4 linked regions of the Alligator mississippiensis genome follow. The protein of the gene in region 4 interacts with the protein of the main gene of each other region in a biochemical or structural test. Links are inferred from orthologs where the notes say so. Each region holds a gene or a part of one and is shown on either strand. Other genes may lie near its edges.

Region 1 (7,605 bases), on a different chromosome or scaffold from region 4:
CCTGCTTCTTCCAAGAATTGTATAGTACAGGGGTAAAGTTTATTCACAATATGCAGAACCTGCCCCGGCTTCATTTTCACTTCTTCATCTTTGCCAATATTCACTAAATCAATGCTGGCTGGATTCACACCAATCTTTGGAGAAGAAAGCAAACAGAGTGCTGGAATTGACTTAAATAGTTTAGCACTCTAAATTCATCAGAACCTATCATCCCCAGAATATCACTGTCCTTAGAATGCAAAGAAGAAATAAAGTAGTATTTCCTCTGCTAGTGGATTTAAGGCTAGTGCCTTTGATTGATGTGTGGACATACAGAAGGTTTGTCTATACAAAGGAAATAGGGTGTTTTAATAATGTCAGCTAACCCCAGAGGGGAGGCCTCACATTGCCTTTAACTTGTTAAGATGTTGTAAAAGTGTTAAGCTCTGTCCACATTCAAACATATGTATTCGTTAAAATATTGCTTAGCTAGTAAAGATCTACTCTCCCAGTCTAAAGCTGCAAGCAGCAGAAGCAAGGAGCAACAACAGTCTTAAGTAGACCTGACTCATTTAAAGGATATTATCCAATGCGAGGAACAGAATGAAAGTTCCCTACCTCTACAGGACACAAAAGGAGTGCTACAGCATAAGCCTACCAACCAGAACACATTATGCACAGAGTAGATCACAAGGTCTGTGACAGGGCTACATCACCAGCTGCGATTTGTAAAGTGTAAACACAATGATAACACCCAATAAACAACACTCCACTTCCATGGGACAGCATACCTGTTTGATCCAGACATAGCCTTTATTACAGTCTGCTTTTAGCTGTACTAGAAAGAAAAAAAAAAGCATCAGAAACCTAGTGGCCAGACCCTCTTCTTTGAGTACTGCTGAAGCCAGTTTTTACAGAGCATCTGATCTAGGCCACACATTTCATGATGCAAGTTCTGTTGTTACTTCAGCTTAATAGGTATAAGCAGATGCATACTTCCTGCTAAAGGGTCTGATTCAGTCAAATCCTATACATTTTGCTTCAGTTAATTTTCAACAAGGGCCAACACATCTACCGAGAAACCCTGATAGGCATAAAATAATTTGCATTCAGCTGGGATATAAGATTCTCCTTTAGAGAGTGACATATTTTTCAAAAATTCTGGATAACAAAGCTGGGTCTGAAAATATCTATATACGAGTCTGTTGCTAAAATTTCTGTCCCCATTCAAAACAGAAGTCTAAATAAATATGATGGCAATATCTGAACTTATTAGTTGGATATTCAGTAACACACCAGAAATAAACTCACAGTATTGGGGTTTTTTGTTTTTTAAAATAAGAAAAGTATGATTTTCTGAGTCATACCAACAAAATTACTTCACAATAACACTACTGACTGCTGAACTTCAAGATGAGAAAATTGACTGAAGTCATCCTGGACATCCATTCTTATGTGAATTATTCATTATCCAAAAGCTAAACCTGTTTTAAAAAAATGTAGAATATACAGAGAAACAAGTTTGCAGACAGCATCACCTGGTATTTTATAGCTCTAATAGAGGATACAATATCAAGGAATAGAATCTTTTAAAGAAGCCCACAGAATTTAATGAAGAATGATATCCCTTCCACAGAACATGCGTAGCTTGTTAATTTCAATTAATAAAAAGCACTTATAGGCATCTCTAGAACATGAACAACTTATAAAGATAAAACATGTTCACAAGAACCTGGAAAGAATGTCACACTCTAAAGTCCCTCCATACCCTTCATCAAATCTATTAAACCATATAGATCATATACACAGCTGTCATCAAGGTCAATTTCTTTCCCTTCTGGTTGCAGGGAGGCTGCTTCCCTTCCTGCTGGTCAGGTTATAGGAGATTATCTAGGGTCCTACAAGGATGATGGATGCATGAGATAGGCAACACTATGTTCAGAAAGGAGAGAGATGACCCTTTGGCTTATGGTAATAGGCTTAGATTTATTCTACAATGACAAGAAACCAGATCGGAAACCTACATCTGCACCTCAGGGTCTCGTAGGCATGTCAATATTTCTGGGACTACTAGGTCACCATCAAAGTAGCAGTTACAAATACACTGCAGCTCTAACTTACCCTGCTGCCGTGAACATTTTTTGTCTGTTATCTCCGTCTCCGGGCCGCGCCCTATCACTACTGTTTTTAAGTGAGGCAGCTTGATTCTTGGGCAGCATTTATCTCTCCTCACCAGCCAACACACAAGCATTATTGCACTGCTGAACACAACAGAGAGAGAGAACATATCGTTATACTTGCATACAGTGTGTTGCATTCAGACAGCAATTGTGATGCAGGGGCCAGAGGGCAGGATCAGATGCCAGCCATTCTTAGTTCTTTTACCAAGCCACTAGTAAATTGTGGCATCTTGGCTGCTTCATTTAATATTGCTGTAACAGTTTCCCCACCCATAAAACAGGGACAACAGCAACCTATACCACAGAGATATTTCAAGGCCTGCTTAATGTTTGTGTTGTACCTTATCACCTTCCAAGCAAAAAGGTGCTAGTGTGGAATGTACTTTTAACACACACCAAGTAGATTTATATTAAAATATACATTTATACACCAAAAGGCATAAGTTTTGAAACAGGAATATCCCCAATGAGTAATAAAGCACTAGAATTTACTATGCACATTTGATACCCGCCATTTGTGGATTTACCACCATGGACAATCCTGTAAGTGCCAACACAGTCTTGTTAGGGTTTGTCCACACTGAGCAAAGGGCTTCCCTTCGGTGCAATTTTCTCCACTTTAAATAAGTGAATGTTACCTACACCAAAGGCTGGGTGGGGGAGGAAGGTGCTGTTGCTGCAGGAGATATCCTTATGCCCCCCGTCACTGCAACTGGCTCAGTTGCACAGAATGTACCACTGCCAAATGGCACAGATGATGGCATTCAGTGGCAGGTCGGGGTGGGGATTCATGAAGGCAGCTGCAGGGCAGAGGGAGGGGGGGGAGGTGCCAGAGGGTCCCTAGACCCAGAGACTACTGGCAGAGCTGATACCTCCTTCCGCAGCAGAGGTGAGGGGGCATGAGGCTGATGACCAGGACCACTGGGATGCAGCCCCCACACTGCCTCTGTTGGTGCCCCGCGGCAGGGGAAGAAAGCAAAGGGGAACCGCCCCAGAGAGGGCAGCCCCCAGCAGCAGCTGGATCACAAGCAGCACCCGGCTGGAGTTAGAAACTTGCCAACCCCTGATCTTAAGGGGCCGGGGCTGGAGCCGGCCCTGCAGCGCGGTCTGGGCCTCCAGCACCTCCCCTTGCCAAACTCTGGATCGGCCCCTGCTCACCCCGCCCGCCCTCGGCTCCAGGCAGCGCGACACCGGCCCAGCTGCCGCCGCGCTGTCATGGGGGGGGGCGCTGAGGGCCGCCGGCCGGGCCTCCCCCTTCCCTCCCGGCGTCGCAAAGCGCCCGGCTCCAGCTGCCCGGGGCGGCCCAGGCAGGCACGAGGACCCGCCCACACGGTGTCCCCAGCTCGCCTCCCGGCCCGGGGCCACCCCACCCCACCACGCCGCGCCGCGCCGCGCCGGCGCGGGGGACAACAGCGCGAGACGCCGCTCACTCACCTACGTAACACCCAAACACGCCCCGTCCCGCCCACTGCGTCGCGGCCAATAGGTGACCCGTACGATACCGGCGACATTGAGCAACCCCGCCCACAAACGTCATTGCTGGGAGAGCGGGGCTTCCTGCCGCGCTTGCGCTGTCATGCGCCTTCCCCGCCCCGCCCTGCAGGGGGCGGTGTGTGTGGGGGGGCGAGGGAGATGTCTGGCGTCCGCTGCTCCAGGGCACGCTGGTGCTAGGGGCTCCTCGGGCGCAGGCCCCGGCCCTGGCCCTGTTGCACAGCGGAAGCGTCCCGGTTCCTAACCCTCCTCCTTAACGTGGGCAACGCAGCCAGAGCCGGACCATGGCCTTCCGGTAATGGCGATGCCAGCACTCCCAGCTACTTCCACTTTTGTGGCCCAGAAAAAGCCTGAAATCGCACGTTCTTCAACAAAAGAAAAGCTGCCCAGTCGGGACTGACAGATGAAATGTCTGTTCTGAAGTCAACACGTCCTTAGCAGAGCTGTCTTCTCCGTATCACCCCACAAACGCGCCTAGAAAACAGTCTAGCTCCATCCTCCCTGTAACTGCCCTTCAGGTGGTTACAGGCTGCTATCAAATCCCCTCTCAGTCTGTACCCTAAACCCAGTCCCTCAGCTGCTCCTCAAAAGTCATGTGCTCCAACCCCCAAACCATTTTTGTTGCCCTCTGATGGACTCTCTCCAACTTGTCCACATCCTTTCTTCTATAGTGGAGGACCCAGAACTGGACACAGTACTCCAGATGTAGCCTCATTAGCTCAGAACAGTGGAATAATTACTTCCCTCATTCTGCTGGCACCACTCCTACCCATGTAGCCCAGCATACTGTTAGCCTTCATGGCAACGGGGGCATTGTTGACTCATATCCAGCTTATTGTCCACTGTAACCCTCGGGTCTTTTGCGGCAGAGCTGCTGCTTAGCCAGTTGGTCCCAAGCCTGTAGCTGCATGGGGTTCTGTCTTAAGTGAAGGACTTTGTCCTTGTTCTTATTGAACCTCATGAGATTTCTTTTGGCCCAATTCTCTAATTTGTCTAGGTAACTCTGAATGGCCCAGATAAAGCCCTACCCTCCAGTGTATCTGCTACCCCCCCCCCCCCCCCGCTAGCTTGCTAACATCTGCGAACTTGCTAAAGGTGCGCCCCATCCCATCTTCCAGATAGTTAATGAAGATATTGAACAAATCCCACCCTAGGACCAACCCCTGGCACACTCCACTTGATACCGGCTGCCAACTAGACATCAAGTCACTGACCACTACCCATTGAGCTGGACAATTCAGCCTTCTCTCCACCTTACAGTCCATTCATCCAACCCACACTTCCTCAGCTTACTTGCAAGAATTCTGTGGAGAACCATATTGCTAAAGTCAAGGTATATCACGTCCACTGCTTTCCCCAAATCCACAGAGCCAGTTATCTCATCAGAGAAGGCAATCAGATTGGTCAGGCATGACTTGCCCTTGGTGAACCCATGCTGATTGTTCCTGATCACCTTCTCCTCCAAGTGTTTAAAAATATATTTCTTGGCAACTTGTTCCATGATTTTTCTGGGGACTGAGATAAGGCTGTCTGGTCTGCAGTTCCCTGGATCCTTCATCTTCCTTTTCTTAAAGATGGGCACTATATTTGCTCTTTTCCAGTCATCCATGACCTCCCCCGATCACCACGGGTTTTCAAAGATAATGCCCAGCAGCTCTGTGGTCACATCAGCCAACTCCCTTAGCGCCCTTGGATGCTTTGAATCTGGACCCATTGACTAGTACACATCCAGCTTTTCTAAATAGTCCCTGACCTGGTCTTTCATCACTGAGAGCTGCTCACCTTCTCCCCAAAGTGCTGCCCAGTGTAGTAGTCTGGGAGCTGACCTTGCCTGTGAAGACTAGGGCAAAAAAAAGGCATTGAGCCTGCTGGGCACTCAATAAAGTCCTGAACTGCTTCCTACCTCCCTGTGTGTTGTGGGGGGAAGGCCAGTGGATGGGAAGCTCAGCCAGGCAGGGCAGGGAGGGCCACCCCGCCTTCACCCGGTGCAAAGGCCATGGGGCACACAGCCCAGGGGTGCGCAGGTGAGCAGGCATGGGCACAGGTGACCATGGTGTCCCTCCCCTACCCCAGCCCTCCTTTCTGCATGAGAGGCCAAGGTGGGAGTCTTGGACTAGACAGGTACCATCTCTTCCAAATGCATCCCTTGCCCTCCATGTAGCCTCCCCTACTAATTTCAACATCAAGGTATTATGCACCAGTCTACCGAACAGAGAAGACGTCAGAGGGTGTAAGCACTAGCAAGGGGCCTGGAAGATTACACTCTTCCCTGTTTTTGATAAGCCATTACTTCAGTAATGAAAACAGATCTACAATGCTTTTTCTATTAATACAATAATTTGTCAATCAGTGCAGTAATGAGCAATTGGTTTTTCATCTGCACTTATATTTTGATTTTTTTCTTCTAGCTAACCACTTTGTAAGAGCCATGACTACCCACTAACTCTGAAAACAGGTACAAGACCTTTTCAGTGTCCGTGATTTTTGTAGGCAAACCTTGCCTCAACATCGCTAACATGAAGGACTGTGACGCATGTAAAATTTCAATGTATGCTTGAGCATGTTTCTTAAAATGATCAACTTGATTCCCCTGATTCTGACACCTTGTGTGAAAATTTCAAGAACAAGACACTGGCTACTACCAAGGATATCTTTGGGACAACAAAGAAAAAAACCCTGACTGGGAGCAGTGTCTGAACATCTGCTGCTCCCAGTCATAGAAAAGAAAAAGCAAGCTTGCCTAACTCTACTTCAACAACCAACTAAGTCCAGAAATCTCAAATTCAAAGAGACTAAGGCTGCAGTCCAGAAAGCCACCAGAGAATGTGCCCAGAAGCATTTGCAAAATCTGTTAGGGTAGCTTTGTTATATTTAGCCTTTGTTGGACCTGCTTGAGTTGTGAATTACAGTATTATTTGAACTTTTCTTTTTACATTCTATATCTGTATTGTCAGCTGTAGCCTTGGGCTCACTTCCAGGTTATGTTCTTGACTATCAGTATGAGAAGGTAGCTTGTATTCTAGTGTGATCAACATAGGTGTGTAGGATGTGGGCTTTGTTACTAGCTTAAATCAACTGAACTTGGCACTAGTCAACTGAATCAGAGGGATGGGATATGTTAATGAAAGATAATAAGAGGGGACCAACTGGACACTGCCCGACTGCAGAGCCCTTGGGATTTCCGGTTTTCATGGATGGACCAAATTAGGAGGCCAGGGACATGCCCACATTAAGACCAAAGACCAAATTAAGATGTGATGGGTGTGTTGGAACAAAGGAATATGCTGACAGGATAGAATGTGGACTGTATGATGACCACAAGGAAACCAATCAATGGTACCTGGGAATGAAGCATCTCAGAGGAGTGGAGTTAAATAAAAAGCATAAAAAGGGGCAACACATAAATAAGTGTGTGTAATTGTCTATCCAACAACATCTGGACCATGCCAGACAGAAGACCACCTAGACAACCACCCTCTACTTTCAGGACTGCTGATTGCCTATAAGACCTGTGGTGGGGAACATCTTGGATTGGGTGAAACCATTGATCTAAATGTTTTTCTCTCTATATATATAAATTACCAATATAATATTTCATATATTAATTAAAAGTTAGATTTTAGTTAAGTTGAAGTTGTGTGTTGCCTATGCCATGCTGGGTTGGTTGAGCTTCAGCAATTCTTTACTGCCATCTGCTGGGCAGATGGGTGAGGTAACAGATCTGTGCAAAAAGATTCAGATCTGCTTTGAAAGAGGGGACCTTTGTGGTACCTATGATGGAATTAAACAGGCACTTGGTCCAACTTGTAAAAAGACTGCAAACCTGAAAGTGAAAGATGGTCCTATCCTGACTGACAAGCAAGAACAGCTTGACCAATGGACTGAGCATTAAAAGAACTCTATGCAAAGGATGCCATTATCTGTGATACTGCCTTAGCTGCCATCCCCCAGCTTC
Region 2 (7,839 bases), on a different chromosome or scaffold from region 4:
GGTATAGACAGTGGCAGACTAATGACTGCAGGATTCCCTCGGCTGGTCTCATGCTCCTTAGAAGTTGCCCTTGCTATCCTTTGCATACAACACAAATTAAAGCTGGGAAGAGGCAGGAACTGGGGATTTTTGTGGTAGATAGCCACTGCTGCTTAAAAGAAGAAACTGGCCTTGGGATGTGTATATGGAAGGCAAGCAACTATGTCCAAGAAATGATGCTTACTTTAGCCCAATTCGCTGATGATGGTTCAGCTTGTGTTCATTTTTCCTTAGATCTAGAAGAAGCCGGACACAAAGATCACTTGCAAAGGAAAGTACTTGAGGAAACAGAAAGCTGCATGGTAAGGGAGGTTCATTTAGAGATTGTTTAAAGAATAGCAGCTTTAGAGAGCGACGTAAAGGATAAGATTCTGCATTGTGTTAACAAGCCATGGCAGCCCCCTCACCCCCAGCAGCAGTACATGGAGGGAAGCACGAAGCTAGCTTCAGAGACAGTTCTCTCCTGGCTCAGAGCTCCTTCGCTCTTATGTGCCCTGAAATACCCCTCTTCCCTGCAAGGGCATGGATTGGGGACACAGCTCTACTCCTCAAAACAACACATCCTGGCAAGTACAAAGCTGCTAAATGTCAGCAGCTTAAGCCATCAGCCTTAAGTAAGGCACTTCCTAAGGCACCCTGACCCATCTTTGCATTACCACACCCTGCGCTGCACTTGCTGAAGCAAAAGGGGTGCTCAAGTCACCTGTCTGCCTGACTGGTCTCAGACTTACCTGGTTCCTGAAGCAGGTTGGTTGGTACATGCACTGCCCTGGCCTCTCAAACAAGATTTCAGGCCTGGGTGCATTGCTTGGAAAACTTCACAGAATTGTTGGGGCTGGAAGGGACCTCTTGGACCACCTAGCGTGACCCCCTGCACGAATGTATTATCTCCCCCTTGATACTACATATGCAGAGCGCATCTTCTATGTACCGACTTAAGCATCCGAATGTCTCTCTCTAGCCACGCTGTTGCTATCACTTATCACTCTGCAGAGGGCAGGTTGTTCACATCATAAATTGCAGGTCTTTCCAAAGTATCTACCACGCAATCAGGGAGATGCGTAGTACAGACTCACCTTCTAGTGTCTTAATTCCTTCATCCACAAACTTCCTGGCAGCCGCAGGACTGAAGAGAGAGAGGACAGCAAAGCACACACAGCATATGCGAGACTGATGCAGCATGCCTGAGCTTGCTGTTTGCCTCTGTGTCCGCCCAAGCCAGTATCGAAACCACCCCTCAGTCAGATTTTGGCACATAATGCCTGTCTGCAATGCTGTGCTTCCAAAAGCAGGTGGCTCTCTAGGAGTTAACATTTTACCTATGCTAGCTAAGAAACTCATGGGAAAAGGATATCCTGGATATGAACCATTTCATATGGGTAGGTCAGTTCCATAAAACATACAGAAAGAAGTACACAAGGAAAAAATCCTTACCCAATGCCACTAACTCGGGTCAGGAAATTGATAGAAGAGCTTGTGTCATCTTGTCGGATCTACAGACAGATATTTCTCATTCACTTGCAAGGCCATGGTAAGCCAAGGTACCTCAGCAAGTTACTGCACTCAAGGTTTGTTACAGTTCAGAGCAAAAAGACAACATTACCTACAAGCGTGCTGCAGTTCACTCAGATCTACATGGAAGGGACCTCAACACAGTGTTCAGAGGGGAGAGCCCTTATGTCAGAATATACTTCCTTCTTGGGCTTGACAATGAATTTATCAAAAATTGGGGGACTGTGTAAAGCCTTAGCTAGAGATGGAAAATCTGACAACAGTTTTAGTTTGGTACAGGGGAAGAAGGGCAATAGGTTGTTAATTTTTGCTGTGCCCTGTACTGGCAAAATACTTAGCCTTATAATATTTTATTATTTGGCAAACTCTCAGGCTTCATAATGTGCATTACTACATACATGGATAGATGGAATTAGGTTTTAAGTGCACTGGAAGATTTGGGACAGCCCAAGTCTGGAACAAAGCAGTTGCCTGGTTCATTTCATCTCAGGACTAGGGTGACAAAGGTATCGCAGGAAGCGTCTACGTCAGACAAATGCCTCACGCATTTGGTGGCAGTAAAAGCTGATCACACCCCATGGTGGTCCCAGGGACGCTAGGTTCTCTCTGCCTGCTCTTTTTACCCATTCCCTTCCTAGTCTCGTTCTCTCCAGGGGCGGAGGAGAGAAAATAAGCGTCAGACAGAATAAACCAAAAGGGCTGACCTTTTCCAGCTTGCGTAGCTTTCCAGTGGCTAAAAACTCATCTATCTTCTCCGCTATTTTGGCCCCGACTCCTTCCTGCAAAGCAAGGGGCAGGGGGAAGGAAAGAAGGCCTGTTTTGATTTTAGTGGTGGCGGGCGACAGAAGGGTCCGGCAGGCGTCAAAGCCTCCCAGCGGTGCCAGGCAGCGGGAGTTGCGATATGACCATCAGCCGCTGCAGCGCGCCTGGAGCGAAGAGGCACCAAAGAGCGCAGCACAGGCGAGGGGCACGCGCAGGTATGGGTCTTTGTGCAGCGCGCGAGCACGGCAGGTGGGGCGGCCGCCCCAGGGCGCAGACACCTACCAGTTTCTTGGCCTCGGCGCCACTGCGGATCTTGCTGGGGTACTTGGCGATGGCGGAGGCCGCCTTCCTGCAGGGAAGCAGATTGCTGGGGAGCGGCCCGGCCCCCGCAGCCCACCCCACCCCGGTCCAGCCCGGCCCGGCCGCACTCACCGGTACGCGTTGTACTTGTGCACGGCGCGGCTCACGTTGCGCTCGTAGTTGGCCAGCTCTGCGGGACCGAGCGGCACCGTCACGGCGCCGCCCGGCCCCGCGCCCTCCCACCCGACCCTGCCCCGCCCCGCGCACCGGTGAGGAAGTCGGTGATGCCCTCGTTGGGCCCCTCCCGCGGCGCCTTGCGCTTGCTCATGGCCCCGGCCGCAGCCCGGTCCGCGCGGAGCGCCCGGCGCGCACCTGCGCACTCCGCCGAGCCTCCTGCCTCGCTCTACGCATGCGCGGCGGCAGGCGCATGCTCAGTAGAACCCGCGCCGGGGAGCAGTGCGAATGCGCCCCATCCTTGAGGGACATGCGCAGCATGTGGGCAAACGGCGCTCCAACCGCCGTGTGCCGGGGCCGTTTGCTTGTAAAAACTGAGGTGTCTCTTTGTTTCAAAAGAAAAAGACATGAGAAAGGTGCGGTTCTAGGGGAGCTTGTCGTCCTTGCTGCAGAGCAGTTGGGGGGTGGGGGTGAAGGGGCAGTGCCGCACTTCCCCTGAGGAGCGATGCAGGGACGTGTGTGGCGAGGATGTGTGCGCACAGGTGTCTGCGGGTACGTGTGGCATCCTTTATTCGACCGCCTGAGTGCTTTTTGGGCGGGTGGGGGGACGTGCCTTGCAAGCTTTTGTGGGGGCAGCCGCAGATGCGCAGGAAGAGCGCCCCAAAACTCGCACGGAAGAGTTTCGCCAACTCCCGGGGCTGGTCTAATCTAATGAAGCGTATCGGGTTGACCCGAGAGCCGGGATGCCAAGCGCGCGTTTCGATTGGCTGCCAGGAGGCGCGTGACGATTGGCGGGGAGGGCTGCGTGGGCGTGGTCAGGGCCATGCCGCTAGTCCTCGCTGTGACTTGCCGGGGGGGGGGGGTCCAGGAGACAGTCCCGCTGCTCCGCAGTCTGATTGGCTGTTGGGATCCTCTTGTGTGGCGATTGGTCCGACTCCGATGCCCAGCAGCCCCATTCGGCTGGCAGGGTGCGGGCCAGGGACGGGAGAGCGGGTCCTTTGCTCGAATCTGCCTATCCGGTGCCTTGCTACCCACATTTGAACGGAATTTCCCTTTTTTACAAGGAAAGCCTCCCCCGCTGTTCGGGAAGCACTGCAAGACGTCACTTCAGTTCGGTTCTAGGGGAGAGCTGGGGGTCCTTGTTGTAAAATAGGAAACTGTTCAGAGTAGAGGTTGATGTGACAGTGTTATTCTTTGTATACAGGCCTCGACGAATTTGAAACTGCGCAGGTATGCATCTAATAACGGGGTGTGCGTAGAACACACTACCTGCCAGAATAAACAGTGGTCCAACTGCAGTCTCGTTCTCTCTCTAAAATAACAGCGCTTTAGGTATTCAAATATCACTACAGTTGGGTCTCAATCTATAATGTTACGTCGACTGCGTGCCGTCTCCGTTAGTAAGTATTAGGGCTGTACGAGTCGGCAGTGATCCGATCCGGCTGCTTCAGATGGCCGTGATCCAATCTGGAGTGCTGGACTGGGTTTCCGCCTCGATCCAGCCAAAGCGGCTCTGAAATTTTGGAGCTGCCTCGGAGATCCGGCCATAGGGTATAATGAGGAATCAGTGAAATATCTATAACTTTGTTGTTTCTTGTCCAATCTGGATGAAACTTGCAGGGATGGTAGCCTCTGATGAGAGCGTGAAACCTGCCAAGTTTCAAGAATATCGGTGCAGCGGTTTGAGGGGAACTGTACCCCAAATTCTTGAAAGCCAAACTCATGTCGCGACTGTATGTCACACCACAGGGGGGTGAAAACTGCAGGGCTGGTAGCTCTTACTGAGGCCACAAAGCCGGCCAAGTTTCAAGGAGATTGGTGCAGGGGTTTGGGGGGAAGTGCACCTCAAGCTGCCGACAAGCAAAACTCGTGCCACGGGTGACACTGCGTGTATTAAGGCACAGCGGGGTGACAGTTCCCCCCCAAACCCCTGCACCGTTCTTGAAACTTGGCAAGCTTTGTGGCCTCAGTAAGAGCTACCACCCCTGCAGTTTTCACCCCGCTATGTTGTAACGCCTACATGTGACATGAGTTTTGTTTTCAAGAATTTGGGGTGCTGTTACTGCCAAACCCCTACACTGATCTTGAAACTCGGCAGGCTTCATCCTCTCTGCGGAGTCTACCACCCAGGAAAATCTCATCCAAATCGGACAAAACCCAACAAAATTATATTTTATTGTTTCCCCATTATACCCTACGGCCAGATCTCCGAGGCGGCTCTGAAGCTCTTCGGTAGTTCCAAACCGCTTTGGGAAGCCTAAGGAGGCCAGCGCTTCGACCTGGATGTGCTGATTCCGACCCCGAAGCATCCGAAGTTTTCTGGATCCGAAGCTCTGTCCAAATCCTCGCACAGCCCTAGTAAGTAAGAAGCCTCACTGCGATAGATGAAATTGTTCGGAGAGGGAGTTGGGTGAGAGAACCGAGTTCACTGATGTGTTTGTGTAGGTGAGGCGCTGCCTGCCAGCTAGGCTTGCATGCAGCGTTACCCTTCAGGCTGTTACGGTACTGAACATAATAGCAGGGCATAGCCCTGCAAATGTATGTCAAATGCATTAGCTGAGGAGCCGTACTATAACCGGCAGGAGCAACGCCAAATTGCTCAAGATTCACTGCCATGTATGCTTCCAGCTTAGTGACAAATGGTAGGTGCAATCTTGAAAGCAGTGAAGAATCAAAAGCCACTTTGTGCATTTGTTGATGCACCTGGTGGTACAGGAAAAACATTCTGCTTCTACACGATTGTTTCAGCAGTGCACTGGGAAGGGAAGATTGCATCGGCTGTGGCATCCAGTGGAATTGCTGCTACCGTGCTTACGGGAGGCAGGACTGTGCACCGAAGGTTCAGGGTACCCCTGAACGTGTTGAAAACCAGCACCTGCAGCATATCAGCCCAGTCTGACTTTGCTGAGCTGATTCGAGAAGCACCTATCATCATCTGTGATGAAGCACCAATGGCTCATCGGTACATGCTGGAGACTAGATCGGATGCTGTGAGATTTACTGCAGACCAATTTACCTTTTAGTGGCAAGGTGATATAGTGTTTGGGGATGATATTCAGCAAATCCTGCCTGTTGTGAAAAATGCCTCAAGGCTACAAATAGTAGAGGCATGCTTCAAGTGATCTGAGTTGTGGAGCCACTTCCAGGTTTTCCAACTTGGTGAGAACATGCAACTATGTAAGGAAGGTTTTGATGCACGAAGTGCAAAATACGCTCAGCAAAGATAGAATGGACATTTCCAAATCTATTGGATAACTATCAAAATCCAGGATGGACATCTGAAAGAGCTATTTTGGCACCGCATTATTCCATTGTACAGGAGATCATCAGTGCTACTGGGGCAAAATTTCCAGGCCAAGAATGGATTTGTATAAGCGCAGGTGCTCTTTCAGAGGATGAACGTGTTATGGCTGTGCCAACTGAGTACCTGAATTCCATGGAGGTGTCAGGTTTGCCTCCACATCAGCTCCACCTTAAGCCTGGGATGCTCATCATGCTTCTGCGAAACCTTGCCCCTAAGGTCTGTGCAGTGGAACGTGGCTGTTGGTGCAATCCATCATCAACAGCAGACTACATGAGGCAAAAATTGTTGGATCAGAAAGAACAGTACTAATTCCTCGGGTAGCACTGAAGCTGTCTGACGACACCTTTCCATTCATGTGGACACGTCTACAGTTCCCTGTGCAGGTGGCATTCAGCATGACCATCAATAAAGCCTTAGGGCAAACATTAAAAAGAGTAGGAGTGTTCCTTCTGGATCTTGTCTTCACTCATGGACAACTATATGTGGCTGCTTCCAGAATCTCCCACCCAGAAATCATTCGATTTGAAGTGACTGCTGACTCGAGTAACAAACCAGGAATGTTGTGTGTACAGAAGTGTTGTAAATCTCTTACAGTAAGGAAGTGTCATATGTTTGAGGATTTTATGTATGCGGAAGTGTTGTGAAGCTGTTGAAGTGCAATAAAATATGATCTCAAGCAAAAATTGGCTCATTGGATTTTCATGCAAGCAACGCTGCACTGGGCATCTAGTATATATTAATATGTGCAGTTAATAGATATGCAAGTGGCACCTTATGCATACATGTAGTATTAAAAAACCCTCAGTGCTGCCCTCCAGTGCCTCACCCTGTGCATTGCAGCCAGGAGAGAAGGGCAGATAAGGGAAATAGCTCAGTGCTGCCTAGGCATGGTTCTCACCGGGCTTTGGGGCCTGGAGATCCTGGCAAAACCCGGCCAGTGCCACAATCCTGAGCTTTGCACTGGGCAGGGTAGCCAGGAAATGCTGCCAGAGAAATAAGAACCTGCCCAGTGCTGCCGTCCTGTGGCACAGACAGGACCTTGGGGCCAGGAGACGAGGGCGGAGAGAGAGAGAGAAAGTGGCTCAGAGCCATGGAGCTGGGACCGGACAGGGATCGCGCTGCTCAGGGCAGACACACGATTCACGAACATGGATCGCAGCAGGGCCTGGATCGCAGTCTCGCGTTTCCATTGGTCAATTTGAGGCGTGAGGTGATTGGGTGGACTGGCCGCATGGGCGGGGTCAGGGCCATTCCACCCATCTTTGCTCTGATTGGCCTCTGCTGGAGGAGGTGGGCCAAGGTGCTCCTTTTCCTTGTTCACATTCTGATTGGCTGCCAGGGCATGGTGGGTGTGTGCCCTCTTCTGTGTGCTGATTGGTCCGACTCTGATCCTCAGCAGCCTTGTGCAGCTGTTTGTCTGTCTGCTGCTGGGTCCAGTGTACCTGGAACCCGCCTCCTGCTGCTGGCCCAGGCACCCGGGTGGTCCTGGAGAGCTGCGGCAGCTCTTCTGGTGCCGTGACGGGTCATATGGGACACTACGTTGCCCATGGTGCCTGGCAGGTGCTCTTGAGGTTGGTGTTAGCAACACAATCTGCGTTGGATTTCTCTTGGAGGGATGAGAAAAGAAGAACCTGTTGCTGTTCAGTAAATACTGCAAGAAACCCTTTGGGTCCTGGAGGCAAGACTGGGCTCCTTGCTGTAAAACTCCAGGCAGGGGGTCAGACTGGAAGATCTACAAGGTCCCTTCC
Region 3 (7,318 bases), on a different chromosome or scaffold from region 4:
CATCTGTGCCCCCACCCTCACGTGAACTTGCAGCACCCCCCAACTCCCTGCTCCATCCCCACCCCACGCCCCGGGAAGTCCCAGGCTTTTTAAACTAGGCCCAACTGTAAGTTACTTTCAGCCCCTTTCCCCATGTTAGCTCCCATGCCCTGCCTGCATGGTTCTTACGTGTGTGCATGGTCCCTCTCCCCCTGGCCCGGATGCCTGGGTCCCTGGCAGCGCTGGAGCTATCTGAGGAGCAGGATGGGCAGCTGCTTACATGGGAGGCGGTGCAGAAGGAGAACCACCTGGTAGCACTGAGGCGCCAGAAACGTGAGAGTGACACCGAGCGCCTGAAACGCACCTCCCAGAAGTGAGGCGGGGCATTGGGGAGGGGGGCTAGGGAATGGCTGCGGGGAAAGAGGGGTGCAGGGGGGAACCCTAGGCAAGGGGAGACATAGAGAAAGTGGAGGGGGTGGGAAAAGAACAGGGGGTCACTGATGGAGCCTGGGATGGGGTGCAGCAGAAGCTCTGAGGTAGAGGGGCTGGGGGGACCCCTGAGTGACCCCCATTCCCTCCCCCTACACAGGATGGACCAGGCCTTGAAACAGCTGGCTGAGATCCGGGAGTCAGAGCGACACCTCAAATCCCTGGAGAACCAGGTACCCGGGTGGCAGGGGGTGGGGGCTGAAGGACCCCATCTTGGGGGGGGGGGGAGGTTGAGGAGGCAGGAGAGGGGGCTCTCTATGTCAGGGTCTCAGGGGAGAGGGTGCCGGAGGCAGTGGGGGGAGGAGGGTTGGGGGTATAAGGGGCAGAGGGAGGGAGTGAAGTAGGCTTGGGGGCACTGAAGCTCTGCCCCCCCGACCCACCCAACCCCCCCAGATGGAGTACTGTACGCAGGCTCTCTCCTGGGTGGTAGATGCCCTGGCTCAGAGTGACCTAGGGAAGAAGCACCAAGACCCTCCCATGCTCAGAAAGGGTAAGTGACCCCATCCTCCCTGGGCTCCTAGCCCCCCGCCCCCCCACCCCCCGCAGGATGTCCCCTACTCCCCAGTCTCCATCTCCCTCCCCCTTGGATGCAGGCTGCCCCCTCAACCCTGGGACAGGGTCCCCCCATAAGCAACCACCCTACTCCCACCCCAAGAACCAGGCCCCTCGGGGGGTGGGGCAAAAATGAAGGGGTTAATTGGCTCCTTCATATATTAGTGTCCCCCCCCAAGCTGCAATGTGACCACCTCCTGCCTGTCCTAATTCTGTCTGTCTCCCCCCAACCAGAATGACCCACTCCCCCAACTCTGCCTGGACCAGTGAGAAGATGGGAGAAATGAGAACCCAGGTGACCAGGCACCTGGGACCTGCTGGAATCCAGGACAACCTCTGTAACCTCACTGTGAACCCAGGTGTCTGGGTGCTGTGCACTTTCTGAGGGGCTGGAGTTGGAACACCCCCCCCCCCCCCCCCAATCATTGCACTGGGAAGCCAGGAGTCCAGCTACCAGAGACTTTCCCTGTGGGGCTGGCATCCAGGATCCCCACCCCTGTAGACCCAGGTGACTGGGTGCCAAAGGACCTTTCAGAAGGGAGAAGCAGAGGAAGGAGGGAAGTTGGGGTATCCTGCCCCCAGCACTGCCCTCCATCCACTCTGGCAGGAGCCTCAGGATCTTGAATGACTTGAATTCTTTGATTAAATAAATATTGATTGTTGCACACCATGAGAACCAGGCCTGGGGGGCAGGGGCTGGGTGAAGTGGGACCCCCCCCCATGCCAGGATCCTGTGCTGGGAACCTCTGATACCCTGCCACTAGCACCCCTCACCTTGAGAGGCCTAGCAGAAGGGTGCCCTGTGTGCAGGAACCCAGGACTCTGAGCTAGCCTGGGGGCATGAGAAGGCCCCTACAGCGTCCACTTTGCCTCCAACCAAAATCCTCATGTGGTTCTCCCTAGGCTCCAGAGCAGCTGTACACCCCCATGGTCCCCCCAAGGACCCCCTAGACTTTCCCCTGGCCTCAGGGTGCCCTGCTTTGGGGTATCTTCTTCACCTACCACTGCCCCTCCCTGCCTGTGGCACCTACCACTCTGCCTCTCCCTCCCTGGACCCTCTCCCCCATGCTGGTGTGTGCCTAGGGACCCTTTTATAATGAGATGACTGGCTCTGTGGAAGTGGAGAGGGCAGTGGATGTGATACACCTTGACTTCAGCAAGGCTTTTGGTATGGTCCCCCTCAACATTCTCACAGGCAAGCTAAGGAAGTATGGGTTGGTTGGATGAATGGACTGTAGGGTGGATAGAAAACTGTCTGGATCATCAGGCTCAGAGCCTAGTAATCACTGGCTCAATAACTATTTGGAACCTGGCATCAAGTGGAGTGCCCCAGGGGTCAGTCCTGGGGCCAGTTTTGTTCAGTGTCTTCATCAATGACCTGGAAAATGGCATAGAATACACCCTCAGCAAGTTTGCAGATGACAGCAAGCAAGCTGGGGGGAGCAGTAGATACACTGGAGAGTAGGGTTTAGATTTAGAGAAATCTTGACAACTTGGAGGACTGGACCAAAAGAAATCTCATGAGGTTCAATTAGGACAAGTGCAAAGTTCTGCACTTGTACCAGGGCATTGTTCTGTCCTAAGTAGGCAACCAACTGGCTAAGCAGCAGTTTTGCAGAAAAGGAGCTGGGAGTTACAGTGGACAAACTGAGTACGAGTCAACAGTGTTGCAAAGAAGGCTAACAGCATATTGGGCTGCATGAGTAAGAGTGTTGCCAGCAGACTGAATGAAATGATTATTCCCTTCTATTAGGCACTGGTGAGGTACTGTGTCCATTTGTGGGTTCCCCACTACAGAAAGATGTGGACAAATTAGAGAGAGTCCAGTGGAGGGCAACGAAAATGGTTCAGGGGCTGTGGCACATGACTTCTGAGGCTGAGGCAACTGGGCTTATTTAGTCTGGAGAAGAAAAGACGGAGGGGGGGATTTAATAGCAGTCTTCAGCTACCTGAAGAGTGGTTCCAAAGAGAATGGAGCTAGACCGTTCTCAGTCGTCACAGAACAAGGAGCAATGCTCTCAAGTTGCAGCAAGGGAAATTTAGGTTAGATATCAGTAAAACACTGGAACAGGTTGTCTAGAGAGGTTGTAGAATCTCCATCCCTAGTGTAGTTTTTAAGACCCGGCCAGACAAAACTTTGGCTGGGATTTTTTTAAAATATAATTCTATATATACATAGAGTTATATATATACATCCTCTAGCATAAACTTTCTATCACACCTTTAAATCACTTTAAGAAACCATGCACCTGTTGGAATAGATGATCTCCTTAGGTCCCTTATTTTCTATGATTCGGTGACCCCTTCCTCTATTGCAAGGCCCCCTGTCTCCTCCCCAGGCAAACTCTCATGGGCAATCCCATTCTCTGGTTCCCTCAGCCCTTCTCCCATACACCAAGGGCTCTGGGGGCCTCATAGCCACCCCTTACTGAATCTCTCGGCTCTCCAGTGACTTTGGCAGCGCCCTCTGGGCACAACCCATAATTGGCTGAGCCCACAGCTCTACTATCCCCAGCCTGGGCCACAGCACCACCTCTCCATGCTGTCCTGGGCTGCACCAGAGGGTCCCCCAATCCTGGGCAGCACTCACTGGGCACTTGGGATGTGGCAGGTAAGGGACCAGGTACCAGGGCACAGCACTGAGTCATGCAGCGGGACTGACGCCAGCAATGCCCCCCCCCACCAAGCAGAGGGCCGTGTGCCCCACAGACCTCCCCCACCCCGCTAGAGGCTCTGGGCGTCGCCCCCTCCTCCGCCCCTACGAACCAAAATGTCCCGGAACCCTCGGCGCCTGGTCCTGCGCGCGCGCCGGCCGGAAGTGGTTGTGGCACCCGCACCGGAAGTGCCGGCGCTGCAGCGGCGGGAACCTCCGAGGGAGAGAAGCTGCCGCCGCCGCTCCTCCCCACTCCCGGTTACGGACACAGGGGCCACTTCCGTGGTGGTGGGGGGGGGACTGCAATAGGTGTGACACTCCCCGCCCACCACACCCCGGCCGTGGGGGCAGCTGAGGTCCCTCCTCCTAGGGCCCCCCTGCAGCCCCCCCAGGGGCGGATCAGGTCCCCCAGGGTGAAACTGCCTTGTGGCACTAGGGGCTGGGGCCAACTGGGGGGAGGGGGCTTCCCCAGGGATTCACGGTGCTAAGGTGGGGATAGGGGTGATGAGGAGGAGGAGGGGCAGAGCCATGGTGGGTCTGACTTTTTGGGGGGGGCGGGAAACAATGGGGGAGGGGATGGGGATGATGGGGGGGGTCGGCGGTGGGGGAGGGGTTTGGGACAGCGGGGAGGAGCAAGGGAATGGGGCTGGCTGTTTTGGGGTGGGGCAGGAGGTGGGGCTGATGGAGAGGCAGGGGGAGATGGGACTGGAGGTGCCATCCCTCACCTCCTGCCCAGTGCCTCTCCTTCCACCTGCAGCCATGGCTTGCCACCTTGTGAGCCAGGACGGGAAGCACGACCCCGTGCCCCTGCCCAACGGCATTGCCGTGGTGCTGGGCCGTGGCCCCGAGACCCGTGTGGCCGACAAGAAGTGCTCCCGGAAGCAAGGTGAGCCGGGCCCCCCCTCCCCCCAACGATTCCCTCTACTCTCCATGCACTGTGTGTAACTTCCCCCAACCCAGGTACAGCCCTCCCAAACCTGCTTGCTCCCCCATCCCAGACCATCTTGTCTGGGGAGTGGCAGGGGGGCTAGGGTGTCTGGATTTGGCAGCATGGGGGTTGCTTGTTCTGATTCCCTCCTTGCTGTTTTCTTTTGCAGTGGAGCTGCTGGCTGACTACAAACAGCAGGCAGTGAGAGTCACTCAGGTAAAGGGTGAAGTCAGGCACAGGGGCCAAGAGGCAGGTTTGTAGAGGAGTTGTTTGTACAGGGACCCCATGCCTGACACTGAGATGCAGCTGGTTCCAGGGTGGAGTGTGTCTGGGACTACTTATGCAGAGTTCTCTTTCCTGGTGCTGAGATGCAGCTGGCTCTGGGTTGGGGCACATCAGGGATCTCTTACCCAGTACTGAGATGTACTTGCCTTTGGGGTAGAACATGTTAGGGCCTGGTTATACAGAGCGCCCTCTCCTGGTTTTGGGATGCGGCTGCCTTTGGAGTGAGCACCTTGAAAGCTGGTGCATCTTGCTTGGCACTAAGATGCAGCCATTTCTTGGATTGGGGCACGTGGTGGGCTATTTATACAGGGACCTTTCATTTGGTACTGAGCTGCAGCTGCCTCTGGGGTGGGGGCACCTTGAGGGATGGTTATTCAGTTATCCCTTGCTCAGTGCTGAATTGCAGGTCCCTCTGAGGTGGAACAAGTTGTGGGCTACTTATGTGGCCACCCCTCCCCTTGGGCTAAGATGCAGCCACCTCTTGGGTGGTCTCCCCTAATGCACCCCCCCTTTGTTGCAGCTGGGTGTAAATCCCACCTCAGTGGACAACCAGGAGCTGGGGCAGGGCAAGAGCGCCACCCTGAGGGAGGGGCAGACACTATGGCTGGTAAACCGCAGCTACCCCCATGGCCTGCGCTTCCTGGCCCTGGCCCACTCCCCCCACAAGACCCTGCTGGACTTCTTCAGCTCCAAGCGCCAGCCCCAGCTAGAGGGGGACAAAGATGAGGATGAGGAGCATCCCCACAAGAGACTGAAGGCTCCCAGCCCCTCTGAGGAGGATGAGGAGGAGGATGATATTGTAGCCACCAAACTGCATCAGCTGCAGGACACAGCTGCCCAGGCCCAGGGAGCAAAGAGTGGGGCTGCCCCCCAACCCTTGGGGGGGTCCTGGAGCCTGCCCCCCCACCCCCAGGACTCCTGGGAGCAACACAGCAAGCTGCTGGTATTCACTAAGGAGGGTGTCATGCCCAGCACCAAGGTACTCTCTGGTGGAAAGGGACAGGACACCTCTGGGAGCTGAGGGATTGGGGTTGTGGGGAGAGTGGTGAACTTCTCTGCTCCTCCCCAACTCCAGGCCCTTGATTCCCTGTCTCTGCAGGTTGCTGGGTTTGACCTGGATGGAACCATCATCACCACTCAGTCAGGAAAGGTTTTCCCTACCAGTCCGGACGACTGGAGGTAAGGACGGGTTGGGAGTGAGGGGCACCATGAAGCTGGGGGGGGGGGGGGGGGGGGAGTTGAGGGCTGGGACTGCAGTAGGGGACCCCAACAGAGCTGGGGGAAACCCAGGAGTGGGCTGGCTGGGGGCAGGTGTGGGGAGCATTAACAGGGTTTTGTGGGGCAGGAAGTCAGGGGCAGAGTGGGAGACGTTGACAGGGTTGTGTAGAATGAGATGGAGAAGGAACTTAGGAGTTCTGGGGAAGAGCTAGGCACTGGCAGGGCTGTGGGCAGGGGGCTGTGGGTCAGGAGCGAGGGACCCCAGCAGTTTCCAGCGTGTGAGGTCTTGGGATAACTCCTGTCTCTTCCCTCCCCCTCTCTCCACCCCCCAAGGATCCTGTACCCTGAGGTCCCCCAGAAGCTGAAGCAACTGCAGAGAGAAGGGTATAAGGTATTCCCCCCCACCTTGGCCCCTCCCCCCATTCCCTCCCCCAGCCTCTCCACTGACCCCCACATTACTGTCTCCCCAGATCATCATCTTCACCAACCAGCTGGGGATCAGCCGAGGCCGCCTGCGCCCCGAAGTCTTCAAGGCCAAAGCGGAGGCAGTGGTGGAGCAGCTGGGGCTGCCCATACAGGTGAGCAGGGCTGGGGTTGGAACCTGGGATGTGGGGGGTTGGGGGGCTAGGGGGTTGGACCCTGTCTAGCTCCTGCCCCCCTAGTGCTCAAAGATGCCCCCAGTGCTGTGTGTAGTCCCTGATGGCCAGCTCAGATTTATAGATTCTAAGGCTGGAAGGGACCTCGGAAGATCATCGGGTCCAGCCCCCCTGCACCAAGCAGGACAGATGACTGGGGGTCAGGTGACCCCAGCAAGGTGACCATCCAGTCTCCTCTTGAAAATTTCCAGGGTAGATGATTGCACCACCTCTGACGGGAGATTATTACACAGTCTGGACACCCTGACTGTGAAGAAGTTTTTCCTAATGTTGAGCCTGAATCGGTCTTCCAGGAGCTTGTGGCCATTACTTCTAGTTTTCCCCTTGGTTGCCTTGGTGAACAGTTGCTCACCAAGCCCTAGATGTATTCTGCTAGTGTAGCAGTAAGCTGCTATCAGGTTCCCTTTCAGCCTTCTTTTCTTCAGGGTGAAGAGTCCCAGATCCCTCAGCCTTTCCTTGTATGGCTTGCCATGTAATACCCTGATCATACAGATGTCTCCTCTTTGGCTTCTCTCAAGCTTGTCCATGTCTGTTGAAGTGTGGTACCCAGAACTGGAC
Region 4 (6,893 bases):
GAGTGTGGCTGCAGCATAGCTGGGTCCAGGGGCTTCGGCTTGGGGGGCTGTGGAGAGAGAACCCAGGTGCTTGGAACCCTCTTCTCTCACCCCACAGCCCCTGCACCCTTCCCAGAGCTGGAGAGAACCCAGGCATCTGGGGTCCCAGAACCCCTCCCCTGGTACCTACCGCTGTCAGGGGGTGGGGCCTTGCTGGCACGGCTGAAGAACAAGGCCCCTGGCCTAAGGGACCCGGAGATGCCATCCTCGTCCTTCACCTTGAACTGGCCAAATTTGGTCAGCTTCTGCAAGGGGTGTGGGTTGGGAGTGAGGGACGCTGGCAGGGCAGAGAGCTGCAAGTCAGGAGTGAGGGGCACCAGCAGGGCTAGGGTGGGGCCAAGAGGCTGTCACTCACCGGGGAGGCCACTTTCGATTGGCTGTCCTTGTCCGGTGGCGAGTGGAACCTCACAAAGGACAGGCCGTATGCCAGGGTCTGGGGTTGCGAGGGATGGGGGCAGAGGGAGAAAACAAGCCATCAGGAAAGAAGCCAGGCGTCTGGGTTCCCAGCCCCACCCTGCTTCCTCCAGGAAGGATGGGACCCAGGCGTCCTGACAGAGGAGCAGGTGGGGGCTGCGGGTCGGTAGTGAGGGGCACTGGCAGGGCTGGGTCAGGGCAGGGGGCTGCGGGTTAGGAGTGAGAGGCACCGGCCGGGTTGGGGGATGGAGCCAGCCAGTTGGAGCAGGGCCCACCTTGCTGTAGGGCTGGCTGCAAATGATCTTGACCCGGTCCCAGCGCCGCTCGGCCGCTGCCCGCACCAGCTTGTCAGGCCCAAAGAGCCGCACACGGTGCAGGTTGGACCCGCTGCGGCTCTCGCTCGGGGACATGAAGGACGAGGTCACCAGGAGCACCTGGGGGGGGGGTGTAGTCAGCCACAAGCCCCTCCCATCCAGCACCTAAGTGTGTGTGCTGGGGGGGGGGGGGGGGGAGCAGCTCTCCCTTTATGCTATTGAAAAAGGTGGGGAAATGAGGCTCATGGGGAGGAAACAAGATCTGAACCCCTTCTTCCAGTCCAGTTCCTATAGGGTGAAAAGGCTTGTGATGGGGGGGGGGGTGACCAAGACAGGCTCCCCCCCACATTAGAAAACAAGGTGAACTGCAATCCCAGCGAGGACTACAACTCCCAGCCAGCCGCCGTTCCTTAGGTGCCCAGTGCCTGCCCAATTCCCTTTTCTCATGTGGGGAGCTGGAGGGGGGCTCACCTCATAGTCCTGCTCGCTGGGGGAGGCCGAGCTGCCAACTAGCACCTCCACGAAGGCCGAGCCCTCATTCCCGATGTCAATGCCATGGATCTGCTCCTCCTTCTCAAACTGCCCGGTGGTGGGGCGAAGGGGAGACGGTTTGGTTACCGGGATGGAGGGGATGGCTGTCGCTGCCTGCACTGTTCCCCCCCTGGAGAACCCAGGTGTCCAAGCTCCCAGCACTCCCCGCTTCACCCCCCCGGCGTCCCCTCCCAGAGCCAGAGGGAACCCAGGGCTGGGGGGTCCTCACTTGCAGAATGACCGAGATCTGCTTCTCTCCGGGCTGTGCCGCTTTCCACTTGCGGTAGGTGTCGGGTCGGAGCAGGTTCTCAGCGCAGTGGGTCTGGGGCGTAAGTGGGGGGTAAGTATGATGGGCACGACCCCAAGTCCCACCCCCGCCCCCCACATGTTACAACTCAAAATAAATTCTCCCACTCTATGTGCTTCAAGCATGACCTCCCCCCATGACTCCCACAATGGTCCCTCCCACTCCCTTCAAAATCCCACCAGCATGGTTTCTCCACATTCCCTTAGAATGGCCCCTCCCAAGCTCCCCCTTCCTCCAAAAAGTATCTCCCCTCACCAGGGTTTCTTCCAGCACCCCCCACTTCAAATGATCCGCTCCAAAAACACCTAAAATAGTCCCTGCCACCCCCCAGTGGTCTTCTCCAGATCCCACTGCCCTAGAATGGTTTCATCCATGGCCACTACACGCCCCCTCCCCTGACACGGCTGCCTCCAATCCCCCTCAATGATCTCTCACCCCTCTTAGCATCCCCCCAGCTCCCATGCCATAATGGTCTCTACCACTGCCCCCCCCCCCCGAAGGTCCCTCCCGGAATGGTCTCTTCCAATTATCCCCGTCCCCCAGCAATCCCCAACAGCCCTCTAGAATGGTCCCTTCCAGTTCCCCGCAAATGATCTCTCCCAAGTCACACCCCCCTGCAGCACCCCTGAATGGTCCCTTCCAGATTCCCTCCCCCACCAAGAATGGCCTCACCCAGTACCCCCTGGAATGGTCTCACCCACACTCCCTCAGCATGCAAAAATGGTCCCTCCCACCCCCACGCTCCCCTAGAATGGCCTCTCCCCCCCGGACTTCCCCTCTCCCCCGCACCGGGTCGGCGCTGCTGGCGGACACCACGTGCCGCACCGCGATCTCCGGCATCGTCCCGTCCCGTCCCGTCCCGTCCCGTCGGCGCCTCCGCCTCCCGCCCCGGAACCAAAACTCCGGCCCAGCCCGGAAGCGAAGCCCGCTACGGGGCCTCTTTTGGGAACTCTATGGTTGCCCGGGTCCTTCGTCGCGCTCTGCGCAGACGCGGCGACCGATTCCGGGCCCGTGCGCATGAACCAAGCTCCGCCAGTTCCTCCAGCGGTCCGTCCGCATGCGCAAGGCCTTTCCCGCGGGCGCCACTTGTCCCGCCTCGACACTGCGCATGCCTCTTAGCAGGTGCAGCTACTGCGCATGCGCACGCGCACTGCTGGGTGACGTCTTTAGGGTATGAAGTGATGTCACTGCTCCCCCGCCCCCTCCCTAAAGGCCGCGCTCGTCCCTCCGCCTGCCTGTGATGCCATCTCGACGCCCCGCTACGTCAGAGTAGACCTGACAGCGGCCCCATGGCGTTACGTCATCACACGTGCCTGACGTCATGAGCGGGGCCGGGGGACCGTGACGTCATCGTGCAGCCGGCGCTGCGGTCCTAGCTTGAGTGTACAGATGTTCACAAGCAACCAATGACTCCCCCGCCACAACTGGAGGGGACCCAGGAGTCCTGGCTCCCAGCCCCCGCTGCTCTCACCTCTAGGCCTCACTCCCCCACCCCCCGAGTACCCAGGCATCCGGGCTCCTAACTCCCCTAGACCTCACCCCCTCCCCGAGTACCCAGGTGTCGGCTCTCCTAACTCCCCTCGACCCCACCACCCCCATGACCCCAGGTGTCCGGGCTCCTAACTCCCCTCCAGCCCACTTCCCCCCACAGTACCGAGGTGGAGGCGCTCCTAACTCCCCTCGACCCCACTCCCCCGCGAGAACCTAGGCGTCCGCACTCCTAACTCCCCTCGACCCCACTCCCCTCCCCTCGACCCCACTCCTCCCCCCGAGAACCCAGACGTCCACGCTCCTAACTCCCCTTGACCCCACTCCCCCCCCCGAGAACCCAGGTGCTTGGGCTCTTATCTTCTCTCGACTCCACTCCCCCTGAGTACCCAGGTGTCCGCACTCCTAACTCCCCTCGACCCCACTCCCCCCCCCGAGAACCCAGGCGTCCGTGCTCCTAACTTCCCTTGACCTCACTCCCCTCCCGAGTACCCAGGCGGCAGCGCTCCTAACTCCCCTCCACCCCACTTTCCCCCAGAGAACCCAGGCGTCTGCACTCCTAACTCTCCTCGACCTCACTCCCTTCCCTGAAAAACCACGTATCCACGCTCCTAACTGCTCTCGACTCCACTCCCCACCCGAGTACCCAGGCGTCTGCACTCCTAACTCCCCTCGACCTCACTCCCCGAGAACTCAGGCATCCACGCTCCTAACTCCCCTCGACTCCACTCCCCCCGAGAACCCAGGCGTCCGTGCTCCTAACCCCCCTTGACCTCACTCTCCCCCAAGAACCCAGGCGTCCACGCTCCTAACTCCCCTCGACTCCACTCCCCCCGAGAACCCAAGTGTCCACACTCCTAACTCCCCTCGACCTCACTCCCCTCCATAACCCAGGCATCTGCACTCCTAACTCCCCTTGACCTCACTCCCCCAAGTACCCAAGTATCTGTGCTCCTAACTCCCCTTGACCTCATTCCACCCCCCCCCCCCGCCCCCAGAACCCAGGTGTCTGGGCTCCGAACCCATTAGCCCCTGCACGCCTCCTCCTGCCCCCTCCCCAGCTTCACCTCTGGGTGCACCAGCGGGTCCCCTGGCTCTGACCCCTCCGCTCTGTCCCCCCTCCGGAGAGAACCCAAGTGTCTGGGCTCCCAGCCCAAAACCCCCCTGCGCAACCTAGGGGATTGGGGCCCCCCAGGGTACTGGCCCTGCCGTGGAGGCGGGGAGCAGGGACCCTGGAAGCCTGGGTTCCCCCCACCTCCGGAGCCTGCAGAGGAGATCGGGGGAGCTAGGATCCCGGAGCAAGGCTTCCTTCCAGCTCTTGGGTGGAGTGGGAGGAGAGCAGGGGCGGCTGGGAGCTCCGTGCCTGTGTTCCTTCCAGCTCGGAAGCCTAACAGGTGGGAGCAGGGGGAGCTGGGATCCCGGACGCCTGGGTTCCTTCCAGCTCTTGCACGGCAGTGGAGCTGGGATCCCAGTAGCCTGGGTTCCCCCCACCTCTGGGGCGGGGTGTGCGTCAGGCCGGCAGCCAGGACACCTGGGTTCTCTCCTGAATAGCTGCACACATGGCCAAGCCTGGCAGGTGCGTGGGCCCCCAGCCAGCCCGCACCTCCCCGCTCGCCCCGGACCGGGCAGAGAACCCAGGCGTCCCGGCTGCCAACCTCTGCACCTGGCTGGGCTCCAGCGGGGGTGGGGGGTCACCAGCTCCTGCCCTGCACCCGGATGCTTCCCGGATCCACCCCCCTGCTCCAGGGGCTATAAGTGCCTCTGGGCAGCTTGGGGCCCCCAGTGCCATCATGCTGTCCCCCCTGGCACTCGGGCTGCTTGCTGCCCTGCTGGGTGCAGGTGAGACCTCCACCCACTGCCTGGGAGGGAACCCAGGTGCCCGGGTTCCCGGGGACCCCTGCCCCAAAGCACCCTGCTCCCCTTCTGGAGAACACCGGTGTCTGGGCACTCTCAAAGCCCTGACTCCCCCCCCACCGCCCCCCTGAGAGCTGGAGAGGGCCCAGGCATCCGGGCAGCCAGACCCCCGCTCTCGCCCCCAAGCCTCCACTCTCCTCTTGAAGAATCCAGGCGTCCGGGCCCCCCCTTCTCTCTCACCCCTAGTCCCTAGTCCCCTCCCAGAGAACCCAGGAGTCTGGGCTCCCGGGCCCCCACTTTCACCCCTTGCTGCCCCCTCAGGCTCCCCCCTGAGCTGCCATCGCTGCAACGGCACTGGCCTCACATGCACGGGGCCCCTGGTGCCTTGTGCTCCCCTCCAGGATGCCTGCTTCACCCTGACCTCGGAGACCCACATTGGGGGTGAGTTGGGCCAGGATTGGGGCTCCCCAGGCTGGGATTGGCGGGTGGGGGCTGTCTGGACCCCCCCAAGCCAGGATCGGGGTGCTTTGTGCACTGTACAGACCCCCCAGGCAGAGATCAGGGTGGTCCGGGGGTTCCAGGGGGATCTGGGTGATGTCGATACCGCTTCCCCCCAGGATCCGGCCACACCAGGCACTGTATATATTTTCATGCCGGTTTTAACTCCGTGATGCCTGGGTGGGGGGGTTTGGGGACAGGGCAATGCCGAGTCCCTCCTGTCTGTGCCCACCCAGGGACGCCGGGGAAGGTGGACACCTTCAAGGGCTGCACAGCGAGGACACTCTGCCCCCCGCGCTCGTCCACGCTCAGTGCCGGTGCCGGCGTGCGCCTGCGGGGGGGCTCCGTGTGCTGCTCCCATGATGGCTGCAACCGGGGCGCCGTGAAATGTATGGACCCCCCGTTCTCTGGAGCCAGCGGGGAACTCAGGCATCTGGGATCCAGCCCCTGAATCCCCCCAGACCCCAGGTGTTCGGGCTCCCAGACCCCCCCTGCTCACCCCCCAGCCCCACTCCCATCCAGGAGCTGACGGGAGACCCAAGTGTCTGGGATCCCAGCACCCCCTGCTTTCAGCCCCCCATGCAGAGCTGAGGAGGACCCAGGTGTCTGGGGTACTCGTTGCCACCCCACACTCTCACCCCACAACCCACATGCCCCTCCCAGAACCCAGGCATCTGGGCTCCCAGCACTGATTCCCCCCCCCGCCCCCGCGACCCCACTTAACTCCCAGAGCTGGAGAGAAGCCAGGCGACCCCTACCCTGAGCCCTCCTGACCCCGCCTGTCCGTCCGTTCCAGTGCCGCTGGCCCCCGGGGTCCTGACCGGGCGCTGGTGCCCAGGCTGTGCTGTTGAAGGCCCTGCCTGCAAGCCCAAGGAGAGGGTCCCATGCCGGGACCACGAGGACCAGTGCCTCTACGTAGCTGGTGCCATCCACGTCGGTGAGAAGCCAGGAGTCCAGGCTCCCAGCTCCCCCCACCCCCACAGCGATCCTCCCCAGGCCTCACTCCCCTCCCAGAGAACCCAGGTGTCCATCCCCCAACCCCCACCTCCTGTCTTGGGGGATGGGGGGGAGATCCCCTCTTTTGGGGGGATTTGGGGGCATTAACCCTTTGCTTGCCAATATGCTGCTGGGGGGGGCAGGGGAGAAAGTATAAGGGGTCTTCCAGGGCCCCAATCCTGGGACTGGGGTCCCCTTGGCCCCCCCCAACCCCTCCTGTGTCTCCCTTCCAGGCAGCTACAACTACAGCTATGCCTTGGGGGGCTGCGCCACCCGTAGTGCCTGCGTCAGCGCTGTCGGTGTCTATGAGGTCAGCGGGGTCTTCACTGAGGTCATCAGCAAGGCAGAGTGCAGCCCTGCCCCCTCCCTCCACCTCAGCTCCACCCCCGCCCCCACCCCTACCCCTACCTCCACCCCCACCCCCACCCCCACCCCTACGGCCCCTGGGGAGC

Evidence for each region.
Region 1: the proteins of XRCC1 (region 4) and APTX form a complex in vitro, tested with the Homo sapiens proteins (2 studies listed by BioGRID). The link is inferred for Alligator mississippiensis from reciprocal best matches to the Homo sapiens genes XRCC1 and APTX.
Region 2: the proteins of XRCC1 (region 4) and POLB form a complex in vitro, tested with the Homo sapiens proteins (5 studies listed by BioGRID, with this or other methods). The link is inferred for Alligator mississippiensis from reciprocal best matches to the Homo sapiens genes XRCC1 and POLB.
Region 3: the proteins of XRCC1 (region 4) and PNKP form a complex in vitro, tested with the Homo sapiens proteins (3 studies listed by BioGRID and IntAct, with this or other methods). The link is inferred for Alligator mississippiensis from reciprocal best matches to the Homo sapiens genes XRCC1 and PNKP.

The regions. Positions count from the first base shown.
Region 1 is NC_081826.1:152,796,975-152,804,579, reverse strand, and holds the start of APTX (aprataxin), read right to left. Parts: upstream 3,009-7,605; 5' UTR 2,924-3,008; coding exon 2,802-2,923; intron 2,241-2,801; coding exon 2,101-2,240; intron 818-2,100; coding exon 771-817; intron 135-770; coding exon 1-134. UniProt on the Homo sapiens protein: DNA-binding protein involved in single-strand DNA break repair, double-strand DNA break repair and base excision repair.
Region 2 is NC_081830.1:17,181,779-17,189,617, reverse strand, and holds the start of POLB (DNA polymerase beta), read right to left. Parts: upstream 3,007-7,839; 5' UTR 2,942-3,006; coding exon 2,881-2,941; intron 2,804-2,880; coding exon 2,746-2,803; intron 2,663-2,745; coding exon 2,596-2,662; intron 2,331-2,595; coding exon 2,256-2,330; intron 1,533-2,255; coding exon 1,474-1,532; intron 1,166-1,473; coding exon 1,116-1,165; intron 276-1,115; coding exon 224-275; intron 1-223.
Region 3 is NC_081828.1:39,808,189-39,815,506, reverse strand, and holds the start of PNKP (bifunctional polynucleotide phosphatase/kinase), read left to right. Parts: upstream 1-4,313; 5' UTR 4,314-4,354; coding exon 4,355-4,559; intron 4,560-4,770; coding exon 4,771-4,817; intron 4,818-5,406; coding exon 5,407-5,865; intron 5,866-5,985; coding exon 5,986-6,065; intron 6,066-6,437; coding exon 6,438-6,495; intron 6,496-6,574; coding exon 6,575-6,682; intron 6,683-7,318. Other genes in the region: TRPM4 (transient receptor potential cation channel subfamily M member 4), read left to right, coding at 220-352, 569-641, 862-958, 1,255-1,259. UniProt on the Homo sapiens protein: Plays a key role in the repair of DNA damage, functioning as part of both the non-homologous end-joining (NHEJ) and base excision repair (BER) pathways.
Region 4 is NC_081838.1:29,416,641-29,423,533, forward strand, and holds the start of XRCC1 (DNA repair protein XRCC1), read right to left. Parts: upstream 3,004-6,893; 5' UTR 2,875-3,003; coding exon of another isoform or gene 2,818-2,874; 5' UTR 2,653-2,817; coding exon of another isoform or gene 2,623-2,652; 5' UTR 2,446-2,622; coding exon 2,395-2,445; intron 1,621-2,394; coding exon 1,528-1,620; intron 1,347-1,527; coding exon 1,239-1,346; intron 888-1,238; coding exon 729-887; intron 473-728; coding exon 395-472; intron 285-394; coding exon 170-284; intron 48-169; coding exon 1-47. Other genes in the region: phospholipase A2 inhibitor and Ly6/PLAUR domain-containing protein-like, read left to right, coding at 2,623-2,652, 2,818-2,874, 4,271-4,487, 5,269-5,388, 5,682-5,834, 6,242-6,382, 6,675-6,893. UniProt on the Homo sapiens protein: Scaffold protein involved in DNA single-strand break repair by mediating the assembly of DNA break repair protein complexes. Negatively regulates ADP-ribosyltransferase activity of PARP1 during base-excision repair in order to prevent excessive PARP1 activity.